Styela clava: one gene and its partner. The protein of the gene in region 2 interacts with the protein of the main gene of each other region in a biochemical or structural test. Links are inferred from orthologs where the notes say so. Each region holds a gene or a part of one and is shown on either strand. Other genes may lie near its edges.

Region 1 (7,886 bases), on a different chromosome or scaffold from region 2:
CGTACTTATCAAGTAAATTGCAGGATGCATTTGGAGAAGAAACACAGATTATACTTTAACCAAGCGTGCTTAACTCAAATTATAAAAATAAGATTTTAGACAGGGTGCCAATGCAATCCATCAGCAAAAAATACCTATGTTCGTTATCCTATGGATGGCAACTGTATGATAAAAATATTGCAGACATCTGTTGTGTTGATTCAAATATGGATCAGGAAATTGGAAAGTCATATATGGCTATGAAATATTACACATGTTCCCAACAGAGGCATGAGATTGTGAATTGTGGCTTACGATTGAGGGTTATTGAAAAAAAAGACTACAAATTTGCATTTTGTACTACATTGGCTCTGCGTTCCCCAGTATCAGGATGAAATGTCGAGAGTAAAATAATTCAAAAGAAATAGGTATATTATTAAACGCAACAAAACAATACAGCCGAATACAAACACATTGATATCAAATTTAAATTCAAGGCAATCATAAATTCAAATTTACATAGATAAAGAGATCAACGAACTAACCATATCATACTTGAACAGTATGTGTGTCCAGCAACCTCCTTGATTGAATTGCTGTATTCTTATTACTGTCATTGCAGTGCATCTCAAATCCTGGAAGATGATAGTTTTTCAAGGCAGAAGATTAAATTCATGAACAGAAGTTTTAAACCGTAATTGATTGAATGCAGGCAGAAAAAACGATAGTTCTGAATGATTCAATTCCAGCATTTAAAATTTGCGCCAAAAATAGTTATTAAATAACTTTTTTTCTTTCTGCCACAGAAATTGGGATAAATGATATATTTTAAACATAAAGATTAGACTAAAATGAACATGCTGATGTACCGTTGTATAACATTAACTCTCTTAAGCAATTAGCGAAATTATAAAAATGGCGAAGTTTTTGGAATTGAGTTTGGCTATTGAAAATACTTGAAATATTGAAAAACTGAGTGAATAAGTCCCTAAATAAGCAGCTTTCAAGTGCTTTAGTCATCTTGTGTCATTGAATTGAATATTTTCCATCAATTTCTCTTGCAAATCAAAATTCAAATGAAATTAGATGAAAAAGCTAGAAATTTTTTTTGAAATGCAAAAATCTTAATTACTGGTACTTAAAAACAGAAGGTTTTGGTTACAAAATTAATTCTGGCCAATGCATGGCAGATATAAACTTGCAACAAAAATGCTAGTAACCCTGCAAAAATATAATTACAAGGAAAACAGGCAACAATAAAACTGCACTGCAAATAAAATAATCTATATGTACAATATGCAGTGAGAAAATGATAATAAGAATCACCAATTCAAATCACAACATATCACCATCTGCAACTTCAAACAAATATTTGGGATTACAGAATTCATAACCGATTAAATACCAGTTCGAAGTTTCGAAAAATAAAAGTTTCCGCATCTTACGGTATATAAATTTTTAAGATGATCATCTTCAAGTAGGAATCAAGACAGACACTAGGTGCACAAAAGTAGTTCAGTTTAAAATCTCAAGACCTTATAAAATAGCAATATATCCACTAAATTTTTTTCTTTCGTCTCAATTGATCTCGGAAGATACATTTTATAGATTTAAAATAAAAGCAGTCTTTCAAAAAATACAGATTTGTGAGAATAATTAGGAAGTACTACTAAAGTCCTAATGATACAATAACTTCACAAGTATATATTGACTTTTCCTTATTGTAAATCTGAAAGATATTGATACTATCAAGTCAAACCTTCCTTATACATATGTATTTTATAAAATTATTATCACAAAACAAGATTAGTTGAAGATACAATTGTATTATTATTTGATTTGTATTACATTAAATTTGTGTTAGGTTTCGATGCTACCAACTATATTATACTTCATTAAAATCGAAGTACTAAAACTGGTGAAGTTGAGGCTTCATTTAACATAGTTTGCAATTCCAAAAATGCGAGTGGGCATTTTCAATATAAACTCAGTCTGACAAATATTCAGCTGTTATTAACACTGCCAGTTATAGGCTTGAGCAAGCTATCGGACAAACAGGATGTCTAACATTCCTGTCCTGTATTTAAGATCACATGTCCTTTGCACAGTACATCTCTTTTAATGTCTTAAGTTCATCGATAAGTGCCTTATTTTGAGTTTCCAGTACCTGTACCCTGTTTTCCAGACACTTAATGTACTCCTTCTTTTTGCGTCGACAATCCCTTGCTGCTTCTCTATTCTTCATTAATCTTAGCTCTCGTTTTCGGGATGCTTCTTCTGCCATTTGCTGCGGCGTTTGCACTGTGTTGGACGGTGAATTACCAGATACAACAGAAAGCTGGCCACCACCTGTTGAGCGAATTTGGTATGCCTGAAGATCACCACCACTGCCTTGGACAACAACATGACTTCCAGGCACCCACAGCTGACCATCTTGCTGCACTATAGCCTGTCCCTGACTCAGAGCATTTGCCACAGAAAAAGTTTGCATGTCAGATTGGTCGCTTATGGAAGGTGTAGATATCTGTATCGTTTGTGGAGCCTGTTGAATAGTAACAGTGCCCGTACTCGTTTGGTATGCTATTGTCGGTGTATTGATTGAGATTGCACTCAAGTCAGACTCTGATTCAGATTCTTCAGAGGACTTATTTTCGCTTAGCACTTCCATTTTCACGGCGGGATTAATTCCACTAGGGCTATCACTTGACAGGTCACTCAATATTTTTCTATAAGAAGGACGCCTAGAAAGGATTTCCCGCTGTCTTTTAGCTGTGTCAGAATTAGCCTGGGTGTCTTCCGATGAAGTATTCCTGGCAGAATCAGTTCCGTTGTTCAGTTGATTAGGTGACTGAATAACAGATTGTTGATTAGATGTGATAACACTTTGTGTTCCGCTTTCCATTGCTGAGTTTATAGGTGAAAGAGAATCATATCGATAATAAAAGTTGTTCTTTCTACTGTTTATATTAGTATAACACAGTCTAATAAAATAACAAAACCTAAAGCAAAAACACAATCTCAAAGAAATTGACCAACCACTAAATTGTTATATTTATTAACATAGATATGCAAAGCGATTGAGTAGAATGGCCTCAATCATATTTTCGGCGTAAGCTATGTAGTTTCTGCTTATTATTAGTTTCAATATACTTACCTCTAGTCTGAAAACCGATTTACTTACTCACACCATCAGTTTGTCACCCAATGAAATCCATGTTCTACTAGACTCAAGCAGTAACATATTAGCATGGCACAGATGTTAAATTTGGAATTGATTGTGAGAATGTACCAGACGAAAACAACCAACATTGTTTCGACTAGTATTATTAAGTTAAATAATTTTTTGGGATAATTCTATTCTTCAGAATACCATTATTTTTTCAATTGACTTAACCTGATAATTGAACTGCCCTATTATCCAAATTGATAAAATTTTGGGCAATATTAAATAGCCTCCTTGAATAGAAACTAATATAACTTTGATAAAAGTATAACGGTAAATAGAATAGCATGTGGTATTGGATAAAATGACATTAAAACAATTGGATATTTTTCCTTATCATCTGTTGTCTAACTTAAACATATCTTACCGGTAATTACAGTTCAGTAATTTTCAAAGCATGGAATGATTATTGAGTGAAAACATGAAAAAATAGAAGTACTCAAAAAATGTCTCTTCAATACACGAGTTAATACAATTACATTATGAAATATGAAGGCTGTTAGTAGGACGAGGCAAGTCAAAAGTGCCCCTTTTCAGCTAGATTGTTCTGGTTTACTATGACAAGGTGTATAGAAGACCAGAAGTATTTCATTTTCGATGAGACCGGCTTCAATTGGTTCTGATATTTCTCTGGCCAATTCATGAACTCAACATATGAATGGTTAAAACATAAGTTTCATGATGTTATCTTTATATATATTTATTTCTACTTCATATCACAATGCCAAGAATACATGATATCAAAATGTGACAAATTTTGATCGATATGGGTAATAAAAAATTTGATCGAGATGATGGGATACTTACGGTACATGAATATACTTGAAGAATGGCTCAATATCATTCAAAGATAGAATAGCAATATTCACAAATTAACGATGTTATCGATTCCATTCATATACTCCCTTTACTTTCTTACTATTATCACACGTTAGATTGCATGAAATGTTGTTACAGTTTTGCCCTTTATTGCATGAACAGAGATATTCCAGAAATTTGGAAAACTATCTTAGTAGGGTTGTTTCTACAGTTAATACGATGATAATGAGGAGTAAAGAAAACATCTTCATAAAATTCTTTCTTCCTGTTTATGGGCAAAATCACAATTCACATATTCCAGGTAATCTAAGCAGTAAATTAATCTGAAACAACTGGGCGACATGTTATTTCATCTTGAAAATGAAATAAGTCTGAAACATTCCTTTAAATTTTCAATAATTCCTAAAATATTAACAACATGAATCCAACAAAATTATTTATCAGGAAACGTTCCCATTAAGATGCTAAAGACAATGTCATCATAATGTCAATACAAGAAAGTGGAAGTAAAAACACACTTTGCAAGTTATTTATTAATGACCATTTGTCATATCATCATTTCAACAAGAAAATATTAGCGCCCCTGTCAAGCTATGAATCAAAACAAAATTAAATTGTTATGGAAAACACATAACAGAGAAAACAAAGATAAATAGGTGACTAAACATAATTCTTTATTATTATATACCCCTAGCATTGTGCAATGATATTGTGTTACTATAATAAGTTGTCTTCATCAGTTCAGATAAATTGCAAATTCCAAATTTAAATCTCTAGCTATTTACAGAATTCGTTTGCTAGTTATGCATGCTATCCTATATTTGCAATACATGGAGAGACATTTTAGGGTCTCGAGTAGTTTTGTACCACGATAACTTCTGGTGGGCATGGCGTAACACTTTTTGCATATGTCATTCCTTACCCCCATGTGATTACGTCATCCGAAAATTACGCCACTGTGATGTAATAGGGCCCCCCAAAATATACAGATTGTCGTTCAAAACACACAGAGGATTATCTGAAGTTGAGCTAGCTATTTCTCTTGTTTTTTGTCGTAGTAATCCTGATATGAGAGAGAGCTGGCGTTAGTAAGCTCGAAATCAGGGGCACAGCTGCCATTTTGGGCTATCGTAGCTATACTTTGTCAAGCTCTATGATATGATTGTGACATGATTTTTGGTAGCATAGTTAGGTGGGAGTTAGTGGTTAGGAATAGCATACAGACATATCCAAAAACTGTTGAGCCAAGCCAACTAGAAGTACATGTGGTACGAAACTACACCAAACCCACAGTTTATAGGTATTCATTGTGAACGTAACCTAACCAAAACTTCCAGTTGTTGTTCTTGATATATGATGTTTTGTTATTTCATACTAAGAGAAGATACACAATGAGAAAAAAGAGCCAAGACCAATCTGTAAACTTTTTGGTATATTCGTATACGATTAAGTGGAAGGTTACAGTTCATCCAGGTCTGCAGGTGCAGTACAGCGATAGCAGGATAAACAACAGAAACATTTTCTTTTCACTTTTCAATACCGGTACCAAAATTTCGGTTTTGTAAGGTCTCTAACGATTTATGCAATCTGTCATCCCTGGATCACTATCACCAGATCACAGACCAGGATGTTACAATATTATAAATTATCGTAAAACGTTAATTTACCTTATTAACTTCCTGATTTTATATGTATCAGTGTATCGGTAAGCTGTCTCTATACCTTTCATTTATAGACTACAATATTATCAGGCCATTTGCAGATTTCAGTATTTCTCCTTTTCCAACCATGGTTAGTATTCATGAATTCCGTTGCTGCAGTATTGTCTGGCTTATGGCCGGAACGTGGGGTGACCCAAATATTGTGTCCTTCAACTTTCATTTCATAATTTATCCTCCTTATTTGTTGCTAAAATGTCTTCAAGTGTTTTAATAATTTGGCATCGCCCAAATTCAAGCTAAAATCAAAACGAAAATGCGGGAAACGGATTCAATACAACAGCACATGCCCAAAAATCTTTTCATCATTCCCGGGTCTAAGTGACGTCAGCTTGTAAATAACTACGTATCAACTTACTTTAATACATATCACGAAAATATTCTACATTTTTCCTGCTTTGTTTTTAACTATTTCAACACCAAACTATTTTTACAAGTACTAGCGTAATATGACGCAATTTTCGTCATTAGTTAAGCCGAACTGTGACGTTTTCCCCTGTTATGACATCAAAGATGGCTGCTGCGTAGACAATGACGAAGAAGTGTTGATGACTCATCGAGCACGGAACCACATATTTCTAGAAATATCTCTAAATTCTAAAATCACTTCAGCAATTTTTTTATATTGGGTTCGAAAAAAAACTTAATTTTATAGAGGGACTTATAATATAGTTTATTCATTGACAGATCCCTGTATATTTCAGACAAAAAGAGATATTAAATCGGTCAATGATGTAGAGGTAAATATCCGGTTCCATGATAACGTTTTATAACCAATGATATTGTTTTACCAAAAATCTGATTTGTTTCGATGATCAACCCGTGCTTCTGATTTTATTGCACTAGTATGTGTATAGTAGAATATAACACATCCATTGTTTGGATGTGCAAAATCCATCTTGTTCTGTTTTAACTTACATTCATTCATAAGTATACAAGTTACCCAAATAATTGATATCTTTCCCTGCGCTCCCATCTATTTCGTTTCGATTATTGGACACGGTAATGGACACAACGATCGTTTCAATATTATGCTGTTGTTGTTCTTTGACACTTTTTGGACACCTAATGGAAAATCTAAAAGGTCGCTTTTCTCTTTGATTACTGGACCAATTGCTTTGAAATTTTTAGTGGTTAAAGATGAAATTTTTCGTCAGAAGGCTATCACTTTTATATATTTCAAATATCTCTGTTGGCTTTGTGAGATTTGTTTTTGTTTGCTATGATGTCACCGACCGTTCTGCGGACGCTTCTGTTCTTCTGATCACGTGCCATCGAACGTCGATGTTTCGTATTGGAATCCTTGATTTGCTAAGATTTGAGGAATGGTGAATGGCGAATAGTGCCGTACTTGGTGTTATATAACAGTAGTGACTCGGATCGTTGGTGTTACTACGGTTGTGAGTCGGACCATCTTGCAATTTCAATTCACGCTGTCACAAGATACGAACTTCTGTAGATAGGGCAGTTCCGGTACCGTAGGCATAACACAATGGGTGACACTGAACTAACTCGTAGCTGTCTGGTAAAAGCGGGGCTTGTTTTTTAAATTTTGTTCCAATAATGGAGAAGGAAATGAAACGGATTACTCAATATTTCAATTCATGTTGCAATTGAATGGAGAAGAGAAGATCATTGTCACGAGACATGTGAAATGGGAGGCAGGCAACTCGACTACACACGAACAACTCACCAGAGACAACTCGACTACATATAGACCTGGTGAGTTGTCTGTGCAGTGAGTAGTCGAATTGCCCATCAGCCCTAAACGGCTATGACAGTCAGTGTACCAAAATTTGTAACCCGATTCAGGTGGTATTTATTGAGTTGACGCATGTTATCTAGTAACGTTTTTATGTGAGATGTTGACTGTGGTTCGGTACTTGATCCGGTAATACGGTAGGCTACATAGTTGACTCATATCATGAGATATTTCAATTGATGTTTCAATATAATCAAGAAGAATAGATCATTGTCACATGACCTAAAATATATATGACAGTCCCTGTACCGTCACGGTACCCCGCTTCCCGATACAGGTACTGGTAAGTCACCGCATATGATTTTTGGCGAATTGTGTCCATATATTTGAGCATTTCTCTCTTGTTGGACACGTAGTGGACATAACGATCGTTTTAATATTATGT
Region 2 (7,483 bases):
TCAACTTCTTTTGCATTTCTGGTATCATCAGAAAAATATTTGTAAACCGCAACAAATTCAGGATTATGAAACTTAACAAAAGAATCATTGACTGTATCAGAGGAGATTGAATCCACATACTTGATTACATGACATCCATTACAGATTATACTTTTTTGACAAAGGCCCAATAATAGTTGGGCTATTTCAGCGGTGTCAATTTTATCTGTTTCCGATTTGCATGTAACTATGTTTAAAGTGGGCATTAATTTCGGAGAATCTTGAAGAGGCGTCTGACTGTAATTTTCAGATTTTGTAAAACTTTGTTGACGAGAAGAACTGTCAGAATCTTCTTCTTTATATCCCAAAATCCAAAGTAATAATAATACGCAAAGTGGGTCGCATTGTGACATCACACGGTAAGGTTCACAGTTCATAAAAGTGGGATTGACAGTCAACATTTGCAAGAGTGTGCAGAAGAAATTATTATCATCCTGGGTAGAATTAAGACCATAGGTATCAATAAAAGCTTTGACAAATTTCAAACTATGATCATTTGGTTCAATGTGTAAGTATATAGAAGACCAAAGGCTTTGTGTGTTCTTTACACATCTTGTTGCAATAAAAAAATTTGCTTTACATTTTCCATCTAATCGTACAAGAGTTGTGAGAAGATCTAGAACAGTGTTATTGATTACTGATTTTGTTGCTTGTGATAAAAAGGTGGTGGCGACATTCCAACAATCTTTCCATATAATGGCTAACTCAGAATCAAAGGATTTTAAGACCTTTGGAATGTGACATGATACAGTCTTGAATACAATACTCAAACACTTTAAACAATAAATTCCAATAATGTTGAGATTTACTTTTGTAATGAGATGCTGGAATTGAGCAGCAATTTTTAAAGCAACAGTGACATTCAAGAACTCCTCATTTCCTTGCAGTAGACAGGAAAGAATTTCCATCCAATACTGTTCAGCATTTGTTACCTTTTTGTCTTTGTCAAACGAAAATATTATTGAAAATGAACTTTTATCATCAAAATTAATCTTGTTCAACAGAAGGTCACCAACTTGATTGGGTGTTGATTTTTGACCTTTGAATTTCTGATTCAAATGAAGGTCAAACAGGACAGAACATGCTGATGCAGCAAGTTGAATACATCCCTTGTTAAATACCACAGTTCTATCTGTTTTCAATCTATATGAAAGAGAACATGATTGTTTTGAAAGCTGCATTTCTGTTCCTAATAAAATAGAAAACAGCTGTGTGTGCCATGTCGCATAATCTTTCGCGTATGCACAAGAAGAAGGGTCTATGCTTCCCCTAGGATGATGCAACGTAATCTGTCGAGAACAAAATTCAATCACTTGACCTAATGTGGACTCTGGTAAAAGATTTCCGATCCATATACATATAATAGTATCGATGCAATCTTCACCAAGTTGGCAACACGATATTCGGTAAGAAACTGCATACCATTTTATATATAAATTCACAGCTGTAAGGACATTCTCCCATATTGTAGGTGTCTTTACATTAGTTAAACCTTTTATCACATTAACAAAAATTGAATGTAGATTGTGATAACTACTAGGGACTGATTGAAGAACTAAAGCATGTGTTAAAGATCGTAACAAAACAGATGACGCAAACTTCGTTTCATTTCCTTCTTGCGTCAACTCGAGCATGCAAATCTTAAAAAGATTGTCATAAACTTCTTTCGTTAAATCACAGATGTATTTTTTTTCAGCCAGAATTTCTTTATCTATTAAAGATAATATCATCACACCGTAATTTAATCGAAACAAATTTGAATGTAAACAATTGATAAGAAAATTTAAAAAACCTGTTACTTTAATTCGAACCAAGTCAACATTTGCAATTTGTAGAATTCTTTTTGTTAAGATAAGTACATCTTGCACTTTTTTAATTTTATTGTTTCTTGTCGAAAGAGCCCAAGATTCATATTGTTTGGACAATGTCCCAGATTCTTTTTCCAAATAATTATAAACAGTTTTGAATACTTGATTCCATTTCCATCCTTTTTTGAAATCTGTTGATTCATTCAATCTGCTCACAAGTTCTGAATCTTCAATAAAAAGTTTAATCCCATTCAAACCTTTGTTTTGATCAGTTATTTTTGATGAATCCAGTAAAGAGCAATTATTGAAGAGTTCAGTCAACTTTCCACTCATATTTTTGTATTTTCACATGATACTGATACATATGTCTGTATGTAAATAACTGCAAATTCACAATTTAAAAAACAATAAAACAACTTAAATGAGTGAATGTGAAACAATGAAAAATGCAACATTTAAATATTCATAATACTGTAAGTACACAAGTATGTAAGATTAACTGTGAAGCGATACGTTGAATGTCTGAACTCCCTAGTATTAAAATTCCCTTTGTAATATTAATTTCTTACAGGTCTCAGAGTTTACTCAAAATAACTCATCCTGTCATCGGTACTGAAGAATATTGCAATAATCGACGCTACATACAGACATATCAAAATTTAAAAACTGAGCTCACGGTACTGGGTTTGTGGAATATCCGAGTCACCCGACTATGTAACTTTACTCGTATCACCGGTACAGTATTGAATAAGTTCATTTGAGAGAGAGTTTATTTCATTTTGTCAAACCGAGAAAACAATTTATGCACACATGAACAAATATCAAAAAAATAGTTTTCGATATATGACTGGGGGCAACGATACAACCTTTGGGGGTCATCAGGGTCAGTTGCCACCCAATTATATTAAATAAGCATAAAAATAACAGGTTCGTGTCAATATATCAATGTCTCTCACGATTTATACTATGTACAATATTTACATGAATTTACTATTTTCAATTATGGAAGCATTCTTTTAAATAATGGGATTTTGCACAAATTGAAATTATATTGCAAAATATAAAATGATCGAAACGAAAAAGAAGTGGGAAAGCAGGTCAGACAAGCTACCCCTTATTTGGGTAACTTGTTTTATTGAATGAATTTAAGTTAAACATATCAAGTGTGATTTTGAACAAGCAAATATGGGTAGAGTTCTATTCTACACACACTAGTGCAATGTAATCAGGAGCATGGGTTGAGCGGTCTTACTACTTACTGAATACAGCGCGAAACATTGCAAAGAGCGCAAAACAGCGCGAAACAGCGGAAAACAGAGGGAAACAGCGCAAGACAGAGGGAAACAGTGTGAAGCAGAAAAAAATTTTGCAATGAGTTCGGGGCACCTTGTTTTGAGTTGGAGTACCACGGCAGCAAATTGAAAACACAAAGCAGCCCCTGCTGGTGACACATTTTGGGTACCATAATTTAGAACATTTTCCATATGGATATGGTTGGCTTTGGGGTTAGGGTTAGATAAAAAGGAACCTCCAGAAGTATGTGCACCAAGATGGCGCACAACCTGCAGGCTTGCAAATCTACGCGAGTACGCGAGTCATACTCTAGTCTAGACTCGCGTATTTTGCCCTACCCGAGTCTAGCTATTACTCCCGTAAAAAACGTCATTACTCGCGTCCAGCAGTACACGAGAGTCCGAGGCGATTTTTTCCGCCGCCTCTCTCTCTTTATTCTTTAGTGACGTAAAATCGTTTGCGGGCGATGGTTTATGATGTCACAATAGTACATTACAGCGAAAAGCGAGGAATCAAGCACGGGCATGCCTCCAGACGACTTGGCGTTGGCGAATGCAGAATGTTCCCTTGTAATAAGGCAGACTGCGAATGCGTATTATGAATTTAATAGAAGTGTTGCAGACTAACAAAGATGAGATGTCGGTGAGACTAGGGCTAGTGTAATTAATTAGTTATATTAACGGCTGTTTTGTTGTAAATTACCGGTAAAAGGGTATTTTTGCGTAACACCGTTTTTTGTTTGTTTAAAAATACCACAGGAGATATTATAAATTGTATGATTAGAGTAAATGGAGGAAAAATCAAGGTCCGTCTCTGTAGCGGCCTGGAAGTTTTGGCCAAACAGATTAAAGGACAGTTTTACGTTCGGTTTCAACGAAGATAATACCAAAGTCGTACATGCAGCATGCATTGTATGCAAAAAACATTGTGACAGAATACAGCGCGGCTATGGAGGCAAAGTTGTTAATGATGTGACGACTTACGGGGAGAATGGCACCATATGGATTTTAAGATATAATTTAGAACGACACCTCAATTCCGAGGGCCACTTAAAGTGTGTCGAAATTGAGAATGGGAAGCTCCCGACGCAAACAAGTATCGCTCGCTTATGGGGCTGCCAAAAACAGAGGGCGGAGAACGCCATAAAACCTCTTGTTCGTACTGCACTGTATGTCTCTAGAAAGGAACTGCCTTTCAATGCGTTTGCGGACTTATTACAACTGTGCGCAGACAATGGCGGCAAAATAACCACGTCATATGGTAACAGAGAAGGTTGTAAAGCCTTTATACATATTCTCGCGGAGGAGATATTGTCCTCAATAAGAAATGAAGTGCACAAAAAAGTAAATTTTTTTAGCTGGATGGTGGATGGGTCAACAGTCGTCAAGCGCAAGTTATCGTACGAGTCGGAACTAATTTACATAAGAATAGCGCACGAATGCAAACCAGCTGTACACGAAATTGACTTGATTTCAATGAAGGAATATGTTCGAGTGGACGCTAACAATTTGTACCACGCTACATTGCGCTCTCTGTTGAGTTTCCTGATTCCCGATATAACAACAAATTGTGAGACACCCATTGAAAATCTTGTGGAACTTATTAAGCCTTTTTCTTCAAAAATTATCGGGGCCGGCGCCGATGGCGCTGCTGTTAACTTTGGGCGTAAAACGGGTTTACTTAAAAAATGGGAGGACGTGTGCCCTGGTCGGCTAATCAAAGTACATTGCTATTCACATCGAATTGAACTAGCATCGAAAGACGCATTGACCCCCCATTTCAAACAAGTTATTGACTTCCTTATTGACATATATTATCATTTTCGGAATAGCCCTAAAGAATGGGCCGCCGTATGTAATGCGGCAGAAAAGTTGCAGACCGCGGTTGTTAGTGTACCAAAGTCGCAAGGCACAAGATTTGTGGCACACACACTCAACGCACTCCATGCGCTAAAAACAAATTGGATTGTTTACATACATCATTTCACTAACCAGAGGGAGGCTGAGTCAGATATGAAGGCTGAGAAATTTCTTGTTAATCTTCACAGCTTCAAGTTCTATATCCTATGTCGCCAATACGAGGATATCGTAAATTGGGTATCTGCCACGTCAATCGCAATACAATCAGATCATGACGGGTCATCCATTATTGACGCTATCAAGCAGATAAAACGGTTGAAAATGAAATTAACTTCTATGGAACTTCGCGGCGGTCCTGCAGAGCGAGAAGCGCTCGATGCTTATGACAGGGGCGACCTAAATTGCACTCCGCTTCCGTTCCGTTTTACCAGACACGAAGATGGTGGACAAACGAAGGCAATACGCATTACTTGTAAAAGGCGTGAAACACCGACCGCCAGACTCCTGGAACACGAGGAAAGCGTGGTTTTTCATTCTGCAGAGGAAACCATCATCCAGAGATCCCAAACAACAAGATCGCAATGCATAAGAAATCTGCGTGATTGCCTGGACGAGCGATTTACAGAAATAGAAGAACAAGAAAACATTTTGAGTAAGTTATCATGGCTGAACCCTGAAATCTTGATGTCGGATGGCGGGATTAATGCGTCCGTCCCTGAATATGGCAATCAAGATCTTTCACAAGTCTTTGAGTACTTCAAAGTACCTCTACACGCAGCTGGGTGCGAGAAGGGTGCATGCTTGAAAGAATGGGATGATTTGAAGTATGACGTCCAGGGAAATGAGGTTTACAAAGATTTGAGCACTACCGACTTTTGGCACAAGTTGCACCAGCGAAAGAAGGAGGCGTATAAAAATTTGTTGATCGTTGTCGAGTTAGTGCTTTGCTTACCATTCTCAAATGCTGTTGTCGAAAGAGGGTTCAGTTGTTTACGGCGAATTCTCACTGATTGGCGATCACATCTCGGACACAATATGATAAAAGATCTTCTATTAATTGCCACGCGAAAAGAACAGTTCGAAGACGGGGCCATTCGAGAAAATCTGGTCAACAAGGCTTCCGCCCGATTTATGGGAAGCGATGGGACGTCTGAACGAGGTCTCGTGAAACGACGTATAAATTCAATTTTAGGGGGGTTGGAAACGGCAAAGCCCAGCTTGGTACAGCCTCAACTAATAAACATCGACGATAGCTCGTCGGAAGAAGACTAAAACTGTGATATGTGAACCTGAAAGCGTCACACGCATTTCTTTGTTCGTCGACACAATTTCTAACCTTTCTTTTTATACATTTTAAATGATGCGAAGTCGACGGGCGGCGATTAGCGTTTAATATTCAATTTCGTTCTTTCTGTGCGATGTTTATTTTGCATGAACTCATCTGCTACATGCGAACTTATTTTATAGATTTCAGTTTGTACGGCAAATGTCAGACTGCACGAATGGTTTTGTTTATTAAAAAAAAAAAAACAGGCGATGGCAACGGCGACTGCCGTTTATTAAAGTTCCTCCCTTTATTTTGCAAAACTTGAGTTATTATTTTCTTTGTAGGGTAACTTGTTGAGAGTTATTCACATGGTTGATTACCCCGATATATAATTAGGTCATTTACGTCGTGCGGGGAAAACGGCGTCGCAGAGCACGCAGCTATCTTGATTAGTATTTAATGAGACGCTCGCAAGTAGCAATATCGCAGAACGAGGGTACCGACGGAGTAGTGTTTATCGAGCGAAAGTAGGTGTGTAGATAGTGTGTGCGTAGATATAATTAGACACATTGACTCGTGCCTGACTCGCGTAACATTTTCCTGGGACGGGAGTATATGTGACGTCACTATGACGTCATTGAATCTTTCGAATTCCGTTAGGAGGTCGACGAGAGTATGCCTAGACTCTCGCTTTCGGGCGCGGATTTGCAAGCCTGACCTGAAAATAGTATGTGTGTGTGTGTAGCGGATTCAGGTTGTGCGACATATTGCTGCACATACTTCTGGAGCACCAAAAATGTAGATAAAATTTCGCATGATGACCTATAATCCGGTACATAACCTTGTAAATATGCCGGAAATAGCGCCATAAAACCATGGCGAGAGGCGCCGTGGTTCTTTCGTGGCAGGAGGTGGTAATGACTGCGTCTCCTGTTTTGCGCTGTTTTCCTCTCTTTTGCGCTGTTTCGCGCTATTTTGCGCTCTTTGCGGTGTTTCGCGCTGTATTCAGTAAGTAGTAAGACCCTGGGTTGAGTCATCAAAACAAATTAGAATTTGGTTTAAACAACAAAAAAATGCATTCCAAAAATGCAATACATGCAAATGTATTTGCAAATGTAGAAAGTCAGGAAATGTCAGAATGTTAATAGTAGAAAATAATACAACCTTGCACATGTGAATTTATCAATGACAGCAATATTTACCGATACCGGTACTGC

What was found. The genes of interacting proteins can lie anywhere in the genome.
Region 1: of the proteins of serine-protein kinase ATM-like (region 2) and cyclic AMP-responsive element-binding protein 1-like, one has a biochemical effect on the other in vitro, tested with the Homo sapiens proteins (2 studies listed by BioGRID). The link is inferred for Styela clava from reciprocal best matches to the Homo sapiens genes ATM and CREB1.

The regions. Positions count from the first base shown.
Region 1 is NC_135252.1:2,241,702-2,249,587, reverse strand, and holds cyclic AMP-responsive element-binding protein 1-like, read right to left. Parts: upstream 3,012-7,886; 5' UTR 2,882-3,011; coding exon 2,069-2,881; 3' UTR 391-2,068; downstream 1-390.
Region 2 is NC_135262.1:13,263,007-13,270,489, forward strand, and holds the start of serine-protein kinase ATM-like, read right to left. Parts: upstream 3,099-7,483; 5' UTR 2,181-3,098; coding exon 1-2,180. Other genes in the region: zinc finger protein 862-like, read left to right, coding at 3,929-6,271.